Cricetulus griseus: one gene and its partners. The protein of the gene in region 1 purifies or fractionates together with the protein of each later gene. This does not show direct contact. Links are inferred from orthologs where the notes say so. Each region holds a gene or a part of one and is shown in the gene's direction. Other genes may lie near its edges.

Region 1 (3,982 bases):
TATCTCATCATCTCAGCCACTGAAGGACCTCAGGCTGAACTGGCATACATAAAGAAGGCCACTAAATCTCAAGGGCACTTGAGTGCATAGTGTCCCGGTGCTGTAGGGTTCACCTGTACACATGGAGATGGCAGAAGGTGTCCACCCCTCATAAGGGATGGCAGTCAGAAGGCGATGTCTCACTCAGAGAGAGAGAGGACAGTGCAGGGAACCAGGAACCCAGGTCCTCTGTGCTCTGCATCCCAGCATGCTGTGTCTTGTGGCTTTTTCCTTACCCTTAAAGCTTCAAGATTTAGTACTCTCCCTCCGGGGTCAGTCCTAATGGATGCATCCAAGTATCTAGAGCTGGGTGTGGTGGTACCCATCTGTAATCTTAGCCTGTAGGAGGCAAGAGGACCAGAAGTACAAGGCCAGCCTCAGCTACATAGTGAGTTTGAGGCTGGCCTGGGCTAAATGAAACATTTCTTTAACCAAGACAAAATAGCAGGTTTGGGAAAAGGGCCCTGGGAACCCTTTACAGCCTCAAGCATGTTCACAGAGATGGCCTCCTGAATCTTCACAGCACCTCTTTCCCTGTGTGAGGGCAGTGCAGGCGTTCACTCTCTCATTTAATAACTGGGGAGCCAACCAAGGCTTGGGGGTCTCTCTCTCTCTCTCTCTCTCCTCTCTCTCTCTCTCTCTCTCTCTCTCTCTCTCTCTCTCTCTCTCTCTCTCTCTCTCTCTCTCTCCTCTCTCCTCTCTCTCTCCTCTCTGTGACAGAGCCATGGTGGGCAGCTGGGGAACCTGTCTGGAAGAGCCTGATGAAAGTCAGTGGGAGAGGCTGAGGGTCAGGCCCCAGGCAGGGTAGAAAACTAGATTTGGTTTTCTTCCCGGTTTGGGGCTGGTTGGGTAAACGTCCAAAAAAGAGAGATTAGAGGGAACCCTGGAGCGAAGGGAGGGCCGCTGAGGACAGCCGTGCACCAGCTGCTGTCCTCCCTCAGTAACTCCTGCCTGCCATCCCATGAGATAGGCTATCTTCATTCTGTGAACTTGAGAACAGCCCGGGGCGGGGTTAGTCTACGGGTCTAAGCTCCCCCACCTAAAAAGCAGAGGAGACAACTGGAACTCGGCGAATTTGACTCAAACTCTAGGTGCTCCCGCTGGGTGTTAAGCGGGTTTGGGGCGCCAGGCTGTGGGAGCCAGGCTGCAAAGCGTTAAAAGAACCTTGGCCCTCTCGTCTCTCCTGGCTCCCTCCTCCCTCCTCCCTCGCCTCTCCCCCGGCTCTTCCGGTCCCGCTCTTGCAACACCACCCCCGCCACTCTCCCTTCCCCTCCTACCTCCTCTTTACTCGCAACTTTAATTTTCTCCGAGTGTTCCGAACTCTGGCTCCCGGTCGGGCCTACTGGGTTCGAGGTCCTGGAGGACCGCACCCCGATCTCTATCTACCCTCGACTTTCAGCGCCTCTAAACCGAGGCCCGCGCTGCCACTGCCCGGGCCACCTGGTCCGGTCGGCTTACTTCATTCACCAGCCTTGCCAATTGCTGCACTGTCCCCAGCCCCAATGGGGGAGTGAGAGGCCACTGCCGGCCGGACATGGGTCTCCCCACCGTGCCTGGCCTGCTGCTGTCACTGGTGAGATGGGAGACAGAGGGGACGGGTGGGCAGCTGGTCAGGCGCGGCCTGGCAGGGGTGGCATGTACTAGGGGTAGGGGTGGGGGTGGGGTCGCTTCTCCGCTTCAGTTTGCCTAGGCTTGCTGTGCCTCACCTGGGGCTGCTCTGAGAGGCGGAGGGGAGAAATCTGAGAGGGAGAACGTTACCACCAGCCAAGCAAGCCCCCAAGCCCAGGGCCTGACAGCCAAGGCGGCTGGCTGGTCCTGGAGTGTGTTGGGCTTTAGGGAGGCCAGGTGCCAGGCCAGTGGAATTACCCGGAGCAGCCCCCGTTTCTCTGGCAGACGTTGAACAGCAAGGGTCAGGATGTTGGAAGACTGGGTCGAAGAACGGGGGCAGTTGGTGGGACAGGTTTGGGATACCATGTTTGGGAGTGAAACAGGAAACAGGATAAAGCAGGGCAGCCCGGCCCAGCCGCTTTCCTGAGACAGCCTGTGCCCTTCTGCCCCCAGGTCTGCTTCCAGACAAGAGGTCTCCATTGGCCTAACCCTCCCTAGGTAGCTAATACCTCCTTTACCTAGGCAGTGTATCCTTCAGCCCCCTCCTCACAGACCTAAAAGACAATCTCTCGGTTTCTAATTCCACAGTTCAGATTGGGGAAGTTGGTAGCAGTTTGTTTTCGTCACTGGAAAAATGTCCTTTCCTCTGGCTTTGGCCTCGTTTTTTTCACGTTTCCTTGGTTTCCCTATACGTGCGTGCGTATAACCATTCTGCGGAGAGCTCAGAGCCAGGGCTCCCTGGCTGTCTGGCGGACTGTACCTCCTGGACAGTGTCTCTGAGAGGTGCCTCCTTCTCCACGCCTCTCCTCTCCCCATCCTTTCCTGTCGGTCTCCAGAGCAGCCTCTTGGAGCTCCTTTCTGTCCATTCCCTTCCCTCTTTTTCCTGTTCCAGTCTAAGCCAGTGTTTCCAGAACCCTCAACTCCCCCAGTCTGTGTAGTCTCCCTCTCTCCTGTCTCCCGGTCTCAGCTCAAGACCCTTGTCAAAACTGCCCCTTCTGGGTCTGCGCCCATCATCCAATTGCCCTCACTTAGTCCTGTTCCCTTAAGGCTGCAGCAGCTGGATTTAGGGCTCAGTACAACACCCTGACCTACGTAAACTCTGACATGTGATGAGAGTCCCCTATGCCTTTGTTTCTCTATTTCCAAAATGGCCATAAAGATCACTACCTCATAGTTGTTCTTTTAAGATTGAATAGGTGGGTGCATGTTACATATTTGCTCAATTTGCTAATCTCTTACTCTGGGCCCTGTTTGAGGAGCTAGGATTGGAGGTGAATGGATCCCTGATGGCGACAAATAGAAGGGACTCTGCTTAGTGCCTGTTTTCTCCTCGCTAGCGGTATCGGTAGTCTGTCATTACTCAGTGGCTGCCAGCATTTGATAAGGTAAAAATAGCCTAGATAGGTTAGAAAGCCCCTGACCCAGTTGTGGAGGCCCAGGTGGCGATGGGCACTATGAACAGAATCGGAGCCTAAAGACAAAGGTCAAGAGATAGCACGTAAGGTCTACAACGGGCAGTCGGTCCACTGCCTTGTCAGAGCACAGTGCCTACGACAAGCATGAGTGATGAGGCGCTGGGGTCAGGAGGCCAGGCCAACAAGATTTTAAGTTTTAAGGCGTTTAAATATAGGAGTCAAAATGACTTTAGAACAGTCTGGAGGAAAAGACATGCCAAGGCCTTGTGATACAGTGTCCTGGAGGCAGAGCTGGGGCGGGGGTGGGGGGAGGTTGGCCACAGGCCAACTGTCTTTTCTTGCTTACTGGCCTTTGCCTGTCTGTTGGGCTGAGCTTGCCTGCATAGATCTTTGGCTCACTGAGAGCTCTTGAGAGTGTGAATTATGTCCCACCCCTCTTGGCATCTCCAGCACCCACGAGGATCCTGGAATGGAGACCTTGACACTTGACTAATGGTGGAATCAATTAGGAAACAAGAGATTGGTCCATGGGACCAGGGAGGGAATGCTGCATAGAGAAGAGGGCTTGGAACTCTTTTCTGGCATCTGGAGCCAGAAAGGAGGGAGAGCAGAGGAGCTGGGAGACTGGGTGGGGGAATGGAGCTGAGCACCTCAGCTGGGGGTAGGACGGCCAAGGTGAGGAATATGACAGGGTGAGAACGGGTACTCCAGCCTGTGTGGAAAAGAACCACGAGCCAGAGCCAGTCGTGAAAGCCAAGGCCTTTCATTCTAGAATGGGAGGTGAAGGCGGGAGACCAGTTTTGGCTACAAAGAGAGCTTGAGGCCATAGAGAAAAAGCGTCAATAGGGACACGTGCACCAGTGCAGCCTAGACCACATGAGACCATGTCGTAAAAAAAAACCAAAAAGGAAAAAAAAGTG
Region 2 (3,515 bases), on another chromosome or scaffold:
GTTCTTAATCTTTAAAAATACTGGTTTAAAGGTGATTCAGAAGCATTCACTGCCAGTTATCAATATATGTCACTGTTCCAAGCCCAGTGTTCTTCCGAGCAGTGAGTCCTCTGTTCTGTATGCTCCTCTAGAGAGTTTCCCTTGCTGTCATCTCAGTGCTTGTGTAGGTACATGGCATTGTCTGCAGCTAGCTTTCCAAAAAGAGCACTATCACCTTTTTCTCTGATCAGAAACAGAAGTCATTCCACATTCAGTACAAGCCTGCAGGAAAGCAGGGCTGTGTCCACCCCTGTGTACCTTAAACTAAAGCAGTGATACAGATGTGCTCTTGTGTTCATGTAACAGGGTTTACCCTGTACTAAAGGCATTTTAAATTGTGACTTGCTTTTACTACAGTACTTTCCAGGAGCAGATGAGCCATTGCAGTATCCTTGTCAGTACTCTGATGAAGGGCAGAGCAACTCAGCCACCAGCACAGGTAAACAGATGGCATCAGAGCATCATCAAGATTTCCCCTCTCATGAAGTTTGTCATGAAAAAAGGAGGGCTGTCTACATTTACACTTTAATTCCTCATTTCTCTGGATTCACTGCAGTTTGAGTTGCCAGGTGCCTCCCTCTTTATGAAGCTCCTGCCATAAAGACCTGCTTCCATGTCTAGAGTTACTGCTTAGTTAGGACTAAAGGATTGAATATGACATTGCTGTGAATGCTAGTCTAATTTCATCTTTTTGAGATAGTCTCACTTTGAATCCAGGCCAGCCAATCACCATATGATTTAGGCTAACTTCAAATTCATGACCCTGTCTCAAAAACCTCCTTAGATCTCAGACTAGATACATGCCTCCACACCAACAGGTTCTCCATGGATGCTGCTGGGTCAGGCAGGTTATTGTGAACATTGGGTTTCCTCACCAACTCTGTTCTGCTCTTTGGTCTTTTTCAAAAGAGACTTATTTCTGAAACTGCTTTAATTAGAAGTTCAGTTTTCTGAAATATAAAGTAGAAGTACTAAGTGATAGTTTGAGGTTATCAAAAACAGAACTAGTATTCTAACTTAGAGAAATTGCTATTTGCAAAATATATGGCATTTTGTTATTTATTTAATTTCTTTTTTGTTATTTATTTAATTTCATCTAGAGAAACACATACATGTCAGTACATATGTAACCTGAACTTTAAATTTTCACTTTTTTCCCACGAATATGTTCATTAGTCTCTTTCCCCCATTTTGAGATGGTTTATTTGTTTTAAGGTTTTTGTTTGATTAGTGATGCTCAAATTCAGTTTTACTGAAAACCTTTTGAGTTTTCAGTGATTCTGCAGTGATCTTTTCCAGAACTCCCTGTGTTTTTCCTTTCTTTCATCTTCTGATTTTCAGTCCTTTCACTGACCCTCAGTTCCTGGAGATCCTTTTATCCTTCATCCCTCCACTAAACTTGGTCAATGATGATCCATCAGAAATCATACTCAATGGTGGAATTCCTCTCTCCACTTGCTTAGCTAAGTTATAGGCCTAATTGGCTCTCAGCTTCCTCCTTTCTCAGATGAGTGCTGAGTGTCACTGTGCAGTTATCATCTCTTAGACAACTTGCTTTAGACAGCAACCTCTCCCCTAAAAGCTCAGGTATCTTGCTAGTCCATGCTGCAGGCTGACCTTGTTTTCTGTTTAAGAATGTTTGCATCATCAGAAGATAGCTCCTACAAGGTCCCCATGTCTTTGTAGCTACTTGGAACAGTGCCCACCTTCTCTGTTTTCTGTTTTTTTCTGACTGCCCATGCTTCTAGTTAAAGGCAAGACTCTCTGCTTATACATTATACCATATCTACCCTTTGTGTCAGGTAGATAACTCTTCTCTCCCCTCATGACTTTTCGTCTTTCTACTGGGAACATTTCAAGAGCAAATACAGTCTGTATTCAGATGCACTGACTAACTCCCTTCTTCCCATTCTCTAGCATCTACTTCATTTAGACTTCTCTTATACTACTACTGCAGAATTATTCTTGTGGAGGTCACCAGTTATCTCTGTATAACTATGCAAATGAGTGGAATTTTATATTCACAGTTGATACTAATAAATGTTTGGTACATTCATCTTTCTCTTTATACTCTTCACTTGCTGTGCAGGACCCAAGACTAATCTGAATTTCATACTACATTTCTGGTCACTTAGGGGTTTTTGTTGAGGTTATTGTTTGGCTATTATTTTGCGAAACAAGCAGAACCTGAGACTTTGTGAATGTTAAACAAACACCATGTCTCTGAGATTGTCCTCAGCTTGTTCTTGGTTTTCTTTGCTGGTTGTTCCTCATTTCCTCAGTTATAAGGAGGAGTGCCAAAGACTTAGCCATTGGCTTGTTCACTTAGCCATTTTCTCCATCTCCTTGGTTACCTCTTCCAATATTAGGACTTTGTTTTCCTCTCCCTCTCTCTAGGCAGATTTTGCCTCAGGTTTATTTGTAAAAACATCATAGGGCACTGACCATCTGTAAATAGTGTGTAGGTGTGTCACATCAGTCCATCTGTCTTCATATTGACTGGTAGAAGCCTTTTCTATGGGGCCTTCACAAGGGCCCCACACCTTTCAGAGCCTGAGCTGGAACTGCAGCCTCAGCCTTGGTTTAAACCTGGGCTTTTGTTGGCAGAGCCTATAACCCTTAGCCATGTAGCTTCAGATCTGCTTCCCAGGCTTTGGGTGAGTGATGAAAGAAATAAGGCTGCATTTGTGGTTGGGCACCTTGGCTCCTTGGGCTTAACTGCCTTGGGTTGCACAAGGGCCTTAAGGGCCTCTGCGTGCTCACTCATCTTTGCATTGTTTGTCTGCATCTTCTTCAGGTCTTTCTTGTTGTGCTTCTTGACAAATCACATGTTCCTCAGAAACTTGGAGTCAACCCCTTAAGACACTAGTATCTTTGTGACTGGGTTTCTTGATGCTGTCCTGTGCCATTTCCAGGATTTCTTATTTGTGGTGTAGTTCTTGGACTTGCCCATGTCTTCACAGTAACCTGTGGCTCCTGAAGTGCCTGGGACCAGAAGAGAAAAAAAAGTGTTCTCATCTTATGCCTGGATTCTACCTTTGTTTATCCAGAACAGGATTTCTAGTAGGGACTCAAAGCAGTGCTTTCCAAACTTAGTTCTGGGTATGTCCTTCAAACTCACTCTTCTTCTTGTCTGCTAATAAGCCCCAGCTCTACTTCAGGGTTAAATCTTTACATTAGTCTCATTTGTTTAGAAGACTGACTGACTCTTTATTGTGCTCTCTGTAACCATCATTTAAAATGGACTTGTTTAGAGTGTCTTCATTGGTGTGGAAGTTTTTGCTTTGTTTTTATGTCTTGCCATTTATTGAATGAGGCATTCATATCATTCTCAACCTGAAGTCATAAATGTTTCTGCTTTCCTAGGCTCATTCATGGACATCGCTTCTACAAATACCAGTAATAAAAGTGATACCAATATGGAACAAGTTCCTGCCACAAATGATACTATTAAACGCTTAGAGTCAAAACTGTTA
Region 3 (4,270 bases), on another chromosome or scaffold:
AGGTTTTGTAGGCCAAGGTCAAGACCTACTTAAGGACACTCGAGGAACCTGGTTGTTTAGTCAAGGAGAGAATCTGTCATTCTCAAGCTACCCAGGCCAACCTTTTTCCAACATTTAATTGAGAGAAAAGTTATATCTGATCTGTTTTTTCCTTACCTGCTTCTATCATTTTCTCCTCTGACTCTATAGCTTCTACTATAATATTTCTCACATAGAAATTTCTCACATGATACCTCAGCAATTCTCATAATCTTATGTCATTGTGCACACATGCACACAATGACACTTTCCCAGGGGACAATTTAGCCAGTGTCTCCTAGTTACAGGATCTGTGCAGTGCTGGGATATAAGGAACTCAGGTCTCTTCATGTAGTACTCTCAACTCCCCCGCCCCCACCACGTTCTAAGCCACTCTGCTGCTTCCACCGCCATTGTTTTTGTTTTTGTTTTTGTTTTTAATTTATCTCTGCAGAACCTAGCCCTTAAGACAAAGGTAGGTGTGTTTCAACATTCTCACAATTTGTCATCCCAGAGTCCCTCAATGGTAGGCAATCTGCAGCATATTCTCAGAGTATTGGGAAACCACAAACCCCATGAAATACCAGTTATACTTGGTAGGACAGATTTAATACAAAAGATATTAAGTATTGTTGGGGGTCAGAACCTTTCTTCACTACTAGTGAGAGTGGGATGGTGCAGCCACTTTGAAAGCAGTATGGCGGTTTTTTGAAGTTCAGATGGAGTTATTAGTCTAGCCACTCCACTCCTTGATTTCAACTTCACTCAACAGAAATGAAAGTGTATGCATACAAAAACAGGTACATGAATGCTTATAGCTGTATTATTTGTAATAGCCAAGAGATGGAAACACTGACATGCCTAGCAACTGCTGAATATATAATATGAAATGAAGTATGGAATACAATGGAATACACTTCGGTGAGAAAAAGAAATGGAATTTTGACTTATGCTACAGCTCATGAACATTGAAAGCATTATGCTAAATGAAAGACGTCAGACACAAAGACCACGTATTGTATGGCTGTTTTTATTTGAAATGTCCAGACTGGGCAAATTCATAGAGAAAGTTAAGTCGTTTTTTCTAGGAAAAGGTTTGTGGAAAGGCAGCTAAGGAGTAGTGATTGCTAAAATGTAAAGGCTTCTTTTTGGGCCGATGAAAATATCCCAACACTGTAGTCCTAGTGTAGTCATAGTTGCACCTATCTGTGAATACTGATACACTAAAAATGGACAAATTGTTTGATACTTAGGTGGTACATCATTAGTGGTGTTATTTCTTAAACTGCCATCCAATATTTCAATAACTGAAATTTGGGATTGAAAATGCAAAACGTTGTTATTTCTGGTCCCCGCGCCAACAACTGGGGGGCTCCCGGGCAAGCCTGGGCTTTCACGTGTGCTGTCTCCACGCCGCAGCAGCGCTGCAGAGGTTAGTCGGGACAGTGTAGGACGCGGCTGCCGCCCGCGGCCCCAGGTCAGCGCGCCCCTCCTCCGGGCCTGAGTCACGGCGTCGCCCGAGTCCGAGTCCCCACGCGAGGATGCTGCGGTGAGCGCGGTGGGGACGCCGCGGGCCCTGGGGCGCAGCGTGGGGCTCTCGGCCGCCGGGCGGCGCCGCTCGGGACCTCTGGGGACAGTCGGCGGCCTGCGCGCCCCGGGCCTCCATGGCGTTCACCCGGAAGAGGCAGCGCGAGCAGCAGCTGCAGTTCTACTCCAAGGAGAGGTGCGCGGGGCGGGGGCCGGGAGACCGGGAGGCCGGGCGGCACTTAGGCGCTCTCCCACAGGCCGCGGCCGCCTCCTGGGTCCGGGAGTCGAGAGTGGGCCCGGCTGGCGGGGACCTCGGGACTCAAAGGCAGGGCCAGCCCGCGCCCGCATGGGGGCGAGCAGCCCGCGCCCGTCTCACACACACACATACACACACACGGGGCCCTGCGTCCCGCAGCCGGCCTGCGTGGGAAGCTGTTGGAGAACCGCGTGCGACCGTAGGGTTGCGGTCACCCGCGGCCCAGGAAGGACTTGAATAAAGAGCTACGGCCTCCCTCAGATCCCGTCCCCTTCTAAGGAAGCGCACTTCCGTCCCTCGTGTCCTTCCTAGTGCGGTTTTGTGACCCGCACGCCTGCGGATAATCTAGCTGTTCTTCCAGCGGGAAAGCCGGCTAAACCGTTTTTGCAAACACGGGGTTTGTGGGAGCTGCGGTCGGACTATCACATTGTCGCTTGGTGGAGCTCTCTAAGCTGGTTATACCTGGAAACGCAGGTGCAGCTTCTAATTCTGGGTGAATTTCCCTTCACCTGTAGTTGTTACTCAGCCCGCCTCTTCATCTAAACATCTCTCTCTCTCTCTCTCTCTCTCTCTCTCTCTCTCTCTCTCTCTCTCTCTCTCTCTCTCTCTCTCTCTCTCTCTCTCTCTCTCTCCTCTCTTCTCTCTCTCTCTCTCTCTCTCTCTCTCTCTCTAATCTGTAATGTCGGACTGGCCAGGTGGTGTGTTCTGAAATTGCATTTCCCACCTGAGTTTACATGGGATTTCTTTGTCTGGCACCAACGACTTGTTAAGACTTGGTGCTGTGTTTTGCATTGATGAGCATGAACCTTTTAAACGCTTGAACTGTTGTCATGTTCTAGACTTCATTAATAGTCATTTGTAACAATCCTGTGACTTCAGTGATGAACAGAAAAACCGGGAGGGTTGTTTTGTTCTGTTTTATCTTTAGATTCTGACTGTTGTTTTGATCGTCTTACACTGTTTGTAATGTTAGGGGAACCTGCTGTCCTTGCTATTTCCAGCATATGCTGTTTTGTTTACATGCTAGGCCCACCGTACTCCCAGGTAAGAGTTCTCCTAGGTCAAACATTTATCAGCTATCAATCAGTTAACTATTCTCTACAATCAGCATGGGCACTTCAATTCTACTTCCTGATCACCCCCAATTTTTTTTTTCTCTGCCTACTGGCTTTTCAATCTTAGGGTGTATGTATGTATGTATGTATGTATGTATGTATCTGTATATTTTAATTAAGGAACATCTCTGAGTGTGAGATTTGAACTTAAATCAAGGAGATTCTTCATAAATCATACAATTCATTCAAAAAGACCAACTTTTAAAAGTTAACTTTGGAAAACCAACCTTACTGAGACCCAAATTTAACATTTCTGCCCACATGTGTCTTGGCTTAACTGTCATTTGGCAACATTAAGGACAAATGAGCAAGATGATAAAGGCCATTGGCTCTGGCTATCTCAGAGAGCAGTTCCTTTTCCTGGGGAGCTTGAGGCTAGTGAGAGATAACCAGAGGCCTCCCCTCTGCCCTGTGCACTCAGTGGCTCCTCTCAAACTGAGTTTGGGATTTTAGATTTCTAGAGCTGCCAAACAGTGACCCCAGAGAAAGAGAAACTGAAGTTAGTATGTATGTCTCTGCTGCTGAATTAGCTCCAGTTAGCATGAGCAGAGTTTGTTTGGGAGATTCTGTGCCAGGAGTTTGGATCATAGTGATGACAGAAGGAAGAATGCAGCAAAGTGGATTTGTATTCTAGATGTTTAATGAGATAGAGGTGACCGGAGATGGTATTGTATATGGCATTTAAGAGGGTGGAGAAAGAAGCCTGGCTGGGATTGTTAGGTACAATATGAGACACTCAGTTAAATATTAATTTCAGATAATTTTTGGCATATGTCCCATGTAGATTTGGGGACATATTTATACTAAAACTTAGTGTAGATTAAGTATATTGTTTCTCTAAAATTCAACTTTAACTGGGATCCTGTACTGCTACTTGCTAACCCACACAGCCCTGCACTGAAACTTCTGGTATGAATAGCCATGCACTGGTGCTGTTTGCTGAAATTTATGAAAAAAAATGCCTTAGTAATTTTCAGGACCAGAATGCAAATAGACAATTAGTTCTATTGTTCAAATTAAGTGTTTTGTATCCCTTCCATTATGTCAGCAGCCATATAAATTTTGCTAGTTATTTTTAAATATCATGATTAGATGTTGATGAAGACAAATGACAAAAGTAAAGAGAAAAATTCACATATGTTCTCTGAAATAGTTGAGCATGGCAGAAGTGGTCAGTGGGTAAGGAAATAAGGAATTCTACAAACTGTCACTTGTTATTCTATTTCTGAATTGTTCTATTTAAAATTTATCTTCACAACTATTTTTATCTTACTCTGTAGAAGTTTACATAGTTGAGACACATGCCTTCAAAGCAGAAGCTGTAGTTTTATTTCTGTGATATAATAGAATGAAC
Region 4 (3,479 bases), on another chromosome or scaffold:
GCAGCCAGAGCTCTTAACTGCTGAGCCATCTTTCCAGGCCTAATGTAATTTTTTTGTTTTGTTTTGTTTTGTTTTTCGAGATAGGGTTTCTCTGTATAGCTTTGGAGCCTATCCTGGCACTCACTCTGGAGACCAGGCTGGCCTCAAACTCACAGAGATCCGCCTACCTCTGCCTCCCAAGTGCTGGGATTAAAGGCGTGAGCCACCAATGCCGGCTGTAATATGTTTTTATTATGGATTTTTGTTGTTCCAAACAAAGAATAGGACACAAGATAAGCATGACTCCTGTTCTCATGAGCTAATGATTTTAGGGACACAGATGAGAGCTCAGATAGGAGAACATGATCTGGAGGAGAAAGCCAAGAGGCAGACAGCTAAGTCTGCGGAATTGGAAGCCAGGGGTGGGTGTGTATGTCTGCACAGCACCTGCAGCCTCAGTACTTGCAAGGCTAAAGCACAAGGGTCATACAGGGAGTTCCAGGCCAGCTTGGGTGAGTTCCTGGCCAGCCTGGTAACCTAGTGAGATTTTGTCTTAAAAGAGCAGAACAGGGCTGGAGATATGGCTCAGAGGTTAAGAGCACTGGCTGCTCTTCCAGAGGTCCTGAGTTCAACTCCCAGCAAACACATGGTGGCTCACAACCATCCATTATGAGATATGATTCCCTCTTCTGATGTGCAGATATACATGGAAGCAGAATGTTGTATACATAATAAATAAATAAATAAATAAATAAATAAATAAATAAATCTTAAGAAAAAGAACAGAACAGGGCTGGCAGATAGCTCAGTGGTTAAAGTGCTTGCTGCCACACTGACAGCCTGAGTTCTAGGCCCTAGACTCACATGGTGGGCAGAGAGAAAGTGACTCCTGCAAGCTGTCCTCTGACAACCCACATGCCATGGCAATCCCTCCTCCCCCATCCAAAAACCATAAAACAAAGCAAAACAAAACAAAAATGAAAGAAAAGACTGTCTGCAGAAGTACTTTTCCTAGCAGAGAGCCCAAGAGAACAGAAATCTGTTAACTAACAGGCAAAAGCATATTCTGGACAAAGAGAATATCAGAGGCCTAAGTGACATGGAATAGGGACTTCCAAGGAACTGGACAAATTTTGTCTAGCTGGAAGGATCGAGCTGCAGGCAGGTAATTGGTGGTGCTGACGGCAGAGTCTGAGCTAACAGCTCTCAGTTTGGGAACTCTAGATCCAAATGCAAGGGCAAATTCGTGAAGCTGCTTCTAGCATGGAAATAGCAAGGGCTGAGGCTGTGGCCACATCTGAATGTATAAGCCACAGGTAGAGCTGAGATTTGATCCTAAGGTTAAGGGGGTTGAGTTTAAAGAGTGTGATCCCATCTGGTTTTGCGTTTTCAAAGTTGCTGGGTTGTAGTGTTGGAAGGGGGGCAATACTCTAGGACACTGGGGTAACTGTACTGAATGGTAACAATGGTTTCTTTCAAAACTGTGAAAACATATAGTCAAATTATGGATTGAGTCATAACTCACTGGCAGATGGATGGATAAAGATAATGTAGTGCATACCTATGACCTCAGCATTTGGGAGTCAGAAGCAAGAACCTTGGCTATATGCTAAGACTCTGTCTCCTGCAACAAAAGAAAACAGGAAAAAAAAAAAGAAAATTACTCAACCATAAATTAAATGTGAAACCATGCTATTTGCAGGAAATGGAAAGAGACAAAAATATCAAATTACATATGTGTATATAAATATATTATGACAAAAACATTGTATACAACAAATAAATACCAATAAAACAAATATGTAGAATATATATATATATATATATATATATAATATATATATATATGATTTAGAAAGCTTATTCACTTATCCAATATAGAAAAAGAAGCCCCTTGATTCTGGTGGGATTGAACCCTGACATTCGGGTCTCCTGCTCTTGAGGAAAAGTAGTCATAGGCTTATATCTAAAGGCAATAGTATTCCATATTCTTAGTGTAGTGCCTATGTGTTTTTCAGATTTTATGGTTTTGATATTGCAATAGCTTGCTATTTAAAAAGTATGTGTTGGTTTTTGCCTGTAATCCTAGCACCTGGGAGGCTGAGGCAGGAGAATTGCCATGAATTTGAGATCAGCCTGGGCTACATAATAAGCTTGAGGCTTGACTGGGCTAGAAGAAATCTCAAAACAACAGCCATAACAAAAAGGTATACGGGCACTGCTAATGTCTGTTAAATCTCCCTTTTCATATAGTTGTGCATTTCGGACTTGGTGAAAGTTCAGAAGATGTGGTCATGATGAACACGCCTGTGGTTAAAGCAGCTTTGGAAATGGGCTTCAGTAGGAGCCTGGTAAGACAGACAGTTCAGCGTCAAATCCTGGCCACTGGCGAGAACTACAGGACCGTCAGCGACCTCGTGATAGGCTTACTTGATGCGGAAGACGAGATAAGGGAGGAGCAGAAGGAGCAGGCAGCCGAGGAAATAGAGTCAGGTACAGTTCACAAGGTCCCTTCTCCGGAGAGATGGCATGTCACCCTATGCAAGTTGTAAAAAGATGCTTGTCTATTTGGCCCGGTGTTTCTTATGTTTCATATTCTGAAAACAATTGTTCACAATGAAGTGCGTTGTGAAGGGCTAGGGAGGTGGCTTGGCAGGTGAGGACACTTGGATCTCAGTACTAGAGCTTGACCCCCAGACCCCATTTGGTGGAAGGGAGAACTGATTTGACTCCCACAGGTTTTCCTCTGACTTCTGTATGAATGCTGTAGCAAATGCACAGATACACACACACACACACACACACACACACACACACACACACACACACTTAAAAGCACACTGGGTTGCTCATTGTATTAAAAAAAGTATATGTTGAACAGATGTTAGCACTTTTCTCTTAGATTTAAAGGTTACAAAAACCAGTTTTTTTTAAAGTGCCTTGTAACCTTCAAAATCCCCAAAGAGTCACACACTATGTGTGATTTTTGTTTTCTGTATGTGCACATAGATCTTTTCAATTAGTAAGCCTTTATATTTTCCTCTTAAATAAAATTTTCACGAAGGAGCTTGATTTCAACATACTGTCAAATCAGTTTTCAATTTTGAAGAGGTAGGGGTGTGTGTGTGTGTGTGTGTGTGTGTGTGTGTGTGTGTGTGTGTGCTTGCACGTGCGTACAGTGACACATAAATCAGAGGATATCTTAATGGAGTCAGAACTCTCCACTTCCTCTGGGTTCTGAGTATCAAGGACAAATGTCATTAAGATTTTGCAATGAGGGTTTTCTGCACTGAGCCATCTTGTTGACCCACAGCCCATTCATTCCCCTTTATGATAAATTGAGATGGAATCCAGGAGAATTATTCATTTGAATACTAGGGTAACATTATATCTTAGACAATGTTTAATTAATTAAATTTTAATTAATTTTAAATTTATGTGTATTTGTGTGAGTTTTATGTGTATTTGTGTGTGTGGGAGCCCTTGGAGGCTAGAAGAGA
Region 5 (3,515 bases), on another chromosome or scaffold:
CTTGTCTCCTTCCTGTGATTACAAAAATCAGCTTAGGTGATGATCACCAGATGGATGGATGAAGAGACTGTGATATGTGTACACAATGGAATTATTTAGCCATAAGGGGGAAAAAGGGAATTTTTGTCATTTGCAGAGAAAAAAGATGGAGCAGGAGATAATCATATTTAAAAGAAAAGCATAGACTCAGAAAAGCAACACTTTTTTCTCTCATATATGGAATCTAGATTTTTTTTAAGGGTACAGAGCAGAATACATGGAAGTAGAAGGCAGAGGATTTTGAAAGAAGTAGAAGCAGCAGGAGGAGGAGGGGTGAGAGGATAATGGAGTTCAAATACAGAGTATGTTCATAGAGATGTGTACAAAAGCACAAAAGTAAGTCCAGAATCTTTGTGCTCCAAACAAGAACTAAAATTACCTCTCAGCCTTCCAGCCACAATAAATATCCAAAAATCACAAATTAAATCCCTGTCAAAGAAGTCTGCCAGTACCAGGCTCCTTGGCATTCTGTGAGCTCCCTGGATACAAAGCATTTTATGTTAGTCTTTACCACATTTTGTTTCCCTGTTTGGCTTTTAAGTGTGACTGGATGAATCTTTCTGTATCTCTAAATTCTAATCAGTGTATGTGACCTTACACACAGCATCATTTGTAGGATAATATTTTACTCACACGATATTTTTTTTCTTTCAGAAATCCGAGCTGTTCCCCTTGTTAATAGAGATCGGGGAAGATTTGAAGACTTAAAAGTTCACTTTTTGACAGACCCTGAAAATGAGATGAAGGAAAAACTTCTCAAGGAGTACTTGATAGTGATGGAGATCCCGGTGCAAGGCTGGGACCATGGCACAACTCACCTCATCAATGCTGCAAAGTAAGCAGTCTCCTTTAATTTGTCTTTTTTTAAAAGATTTATTTATTAATTTTTTTCTCTATGCATTGGTGTTTTGCCTGCATGCATGTCTGTGTGAGGGTGCTGGATTCCCTGGAACTGGAGTTACAGACAGTTGTGACAGAGCTGCCATGTGGGTGCTGGGAATTGAACCTGGGTCCTCTGGAAGAGTAGCCAGTGCTCTTAACAGCTGAGCCATCTCTCCAGCCCTTTGATTTGTCTTCTGCACTTGAGAACATGATAGAAGTGTATTGGACCACAATGTGTCATAAGCCTGCATTTCAGTGCTGGTATTGTGCCATAGACTGCTACATTCTGGAAATGTGTTCTAGGAGCTTATGATGTTAGAGTCTTGTGTTATTTGGAGTCACCACTTATTTTCCTGCTTGCTCTTTAGGTTGGATGAAGCTAATTTACCCAAAGAAATAAATCTGGTAGATGATTACTTTGAACTTGTTCAGCATGAATACAAGAAATGGCAGGAAAACAATGAGCAAGGCAGGAGAGGGGCGCATTCACAGAACCCTTTGGAGCCTTCCACGCCCCAGCTGTCACTCATGGATGTAAAATGTGAGACACCCAACTGTCCTTTCTTTATGTCCGTGAACACTCAACCGTTATGTCATGAATGCTCAGAGAGGCGCCAAAAGAACCAGAGCAAACTCCCAAAGCTGAACTCGAAGCTGGGTCCTGAAGGATTCCCAGGCATGGGACTTGGCACCTCCGCCTGGAGCCCGGAGGAAACAGCTGGAGGACCTCATTCGGCCCCACCCACGGCACCCAGCCTTTTTCTGTTCAGCGAGACCACGGCAATGAAGTGCAGGAGCCCCGGTTGCCCTTTCACATTGAACGTGCAGCATAATGGATTCTGTGAGCGCTGCCACAATGCCCAGCAGCTTAATGCCAGCCACACTGCAGATCCCGGTAAGTGCCAAGCTTGCCATCAGGATGTCACTCGGACGTTTAATGGCATCTGCAGTACCTGTTTGAAAAGGACCAAAGCAGAGCCCTCCTCCAGCCTCACTTCCAGTGTCCCTCCCTCCTGTCACCAACGCTCCAAGTCTGACCCCTCACAACTCATCCAAAGTCTCGCCCCACACTCTTGCCATCGGACTGGAAATGATGTCCCTTCTGGCTGCCTTTCCCAGGCAGCACGAACTCCAGGAGACAGGACAGGGACAAGCAAGTGCAGAAAAGCTGGCTGCACATATTTTGGGACTCCCAAAAACAAGGGCTTCTGCACGCTGTGTTTCATCGAATACAGAGAAAATAAACGTGAGTGAAATCATAGATTGCCTATTGCAGTAGTCAGTGCCTAGAAAGGGGTCTTTGATTGTCAAGAAAGTAGCCTATCCCAGCAGTCAGAGCAATTACATCTCACTATGCCTTTCTTATTGGTTTGTGCTTGGGGACAGTGACTGTTGCTCTGCTGTTGTACCTGGAAGCAGTAGGCACTATCTCATTACATCAGTTCTAGTTACCATGTACCCTACATCAAAAATATCCTATAGATATAATTCATACTAGTCCATGATGGACCCACTGTGTATCCCAGGCGGGCCTCAGAGTCCTGGCAATCTATTTGCTTCTTTCCCCTCAGTGCTAGAATTTTAGGCATATACTGCCACACTAGACTGTGGGGCTGGGTTTAATAAGGCCATTGAGAGTCTGCTACCCACGTATAGTTCAGACTTCAGCATCTTTGGTGAGATACTCTGAAGCAGGCTAGCAAAAGAAAGGAAGTATTTACTGCCATCAGGAAAACATCTGTGGCTTAGGACTTTCTAAATCAAAGGGCAAGTGGGCTGTGAATGCCTGCTGTTTGGTTCTCTGACTGATCAGTGACCCATGTTCAAAGTGAGAGATTAAGCCAAAGATGTTATTTTGCTGAGTTTCTGAAAGTTCAGTCTCAAAGTACATGTTCAAGGCTGTTTTCATCTATGTTGGGTACCCATTTCCTGTATGTCAGTGTCTGTATTTGCACAGTAACCCAGATGTAATACTGACTAGCATCCACTCTTTTGTAGAGTTTGTTACTGCCTCTGGGAAAGCCGGTTCCACAGCCCCCAGGTTCCAGAATAACATCCCATGCCTGGGCAGGGAGTGCGGCACCCTCGGGAGCACCATGTTTGAAGGATATTGTCAGAAGTGCTTCATTGAAGCTCAGAGCCAGAGGTTTCATGAAGCAAAAAGGACTGAAGAGCAACTGGTGAGACATTTGGTGAATCTTGCCCTCTCTGGTGTCAGGTCTTCCATCTGTGACAGACAGGCTGTCTCCTCATGATGACAAAGGTCCCTTTAAAAAGTCTGCTGGAAGAGAGCCTGGAAAAACCAGCCACATTTCTTTGGCTCATGTTAGGATACACTGAACAGCCTAAGCATACTTAGAATTGATTCTGAACAGCTAATACAGTCAGCCCTGAGCAAAGCCTCTGAGAGCATCCTGAAAGCCAGGAGGTGACTGATCAGAGACCTCTTAGATTTTAATGAGAAGCAGACTTCTCAGTCCTTTATTCTGAATATTCAGGATGCTTCCATTTACTGGCATATGGCAGAAGCGGGGAGGACCTTCCTCAAACTGGGTCCACAGGATTGGTGGGGAGCTATGGACCCTCAGTTGCAC

Evidence for each region.
Region 2: the proteins of Tnfrsf1a (region 1) and Map3k7 purify together in Homo sapiens (affinity purification with western blotting; 7 studies listed by BioGRID, with this or other methods). This does not show direct contact. The link is inferred for Cricetulus griseus from reciprocal best matches to the Homo sapiens genes TNFRSF1A and MAP3K7.
Region 3: the proteins of Tnfrsf1a (region 1) and Nsmaf purify together in Homo sapiens (affinity purification with western blotting; 3 studies listed by BioGRID and IntAct, with this or other methods). This does not show direct contact. The link is inferred for Cricetulus griseus from reciprocal best matches to the Homo sapiens genes TNFRSF1A and NSMAF.
Region 4: the proteins of Tnfrsf1a (region 1) and baculoviral IAP repeat-containing protein 3 purify together in Homo sapiens (affinity purification with western blotting; 4 studies listed by BioGRID, with this or other methods). This does not show direct contact. The link is inferred for Cricetulus griseus from reciprocal best matches to the Homo sapiens genes TNFRSF1A and BIRC3.
Region 5: the proteins of Tnfrsf1a (region 1) and Tnfaip3 purify together in Homo sapiens (affinity purification with western blotting; 7 studies listed by BioGRID, with this or other methods). This does not show direct contact. The link is inferred for Cricetulus griseus from reciprocal best matches to the Homo sapiens genes TNFRSF1A and TNFAIP3.

The regions. Positions count from the first base shown.
Region 1 is NC_048601.1:21,085,829-21,089,810, reverse strand, and holds the start of Tnfrsf1a (tumor necrosis factor receptor superfamily member 1A), read left to right. Parts: upstream 1-1,181; 5' UTR 1,182-1,573; coding exon 1,574-1,612; intron 1,613-3,982.
Region 2 is NC_048595.1:110,086,733-110,090,247, reverse strand, and holds part of Map3k7 (mitogen-activated protein kinase kinase kinase 7), read left to right. Parts: intron 1-396; coding exon 397-478; intron 479-3,405; coding exon 3,406-3,515. UniProt on the Homo sapiens protein: Serine/threonine kinase which acts as an essential component of the MAP kinase signal transduction pathway. Plays an important role in the cascades of cellular responses evoked by changes in the environment.
Region 3 is NC_048595.1:154,070,000-154,074,269, forward strand, and holds the start of Nsmaf (protein FAN), read left to right. Parts: upstream 1-1,463; 5' UTR 1,464-1,682; coding exon 1,683-1,741; intron 1,742-4,270. UniProt on the Homo sapiens protein: Couples the p55 TNF-receptor (TNF-R55 / TNFR1) to neutral sphingomyelinase (N-SMASE). Specifically binds to the N-smase activation domain of TNF-R55. May regulate ceramide production by N-SMASE.
Region 4 is NC_048597.1:122,231,146-122,234,624, reverse strand, and holds part of baculoviral IAP repeat-containing protein 3, read left to right. Parts: intron 1-2,232; coding exon 2,233-2,472; intron 2,473-3,479. UniProt on the Homo sapiens protein: Multi-functional protein which regulates not only caspases and apoptosis, but also modulates inflammatory signaling and immunity, mitogenic kinase signaling and cell proliferation, as well as cell invasion and metastasis.
Region 5 is NC_048595.1:270,731,631-270,735,145, forward strand, and holds part of Tnfaip3 (tumor necrosis factor alpha-induced protein 3), read left to right. Parts: intron 1-693; coding exon 694-874; intron 875-1,289; coding exon 1,290-2,167; intron 2,168-2,919; coding exon 2,920-3,101; intron 3,102-3,515. UniProt on the Homo sapiens protein: Ubiquitin-editing enzyme that contains both ubiquitin ligase and deubiquitinase activities.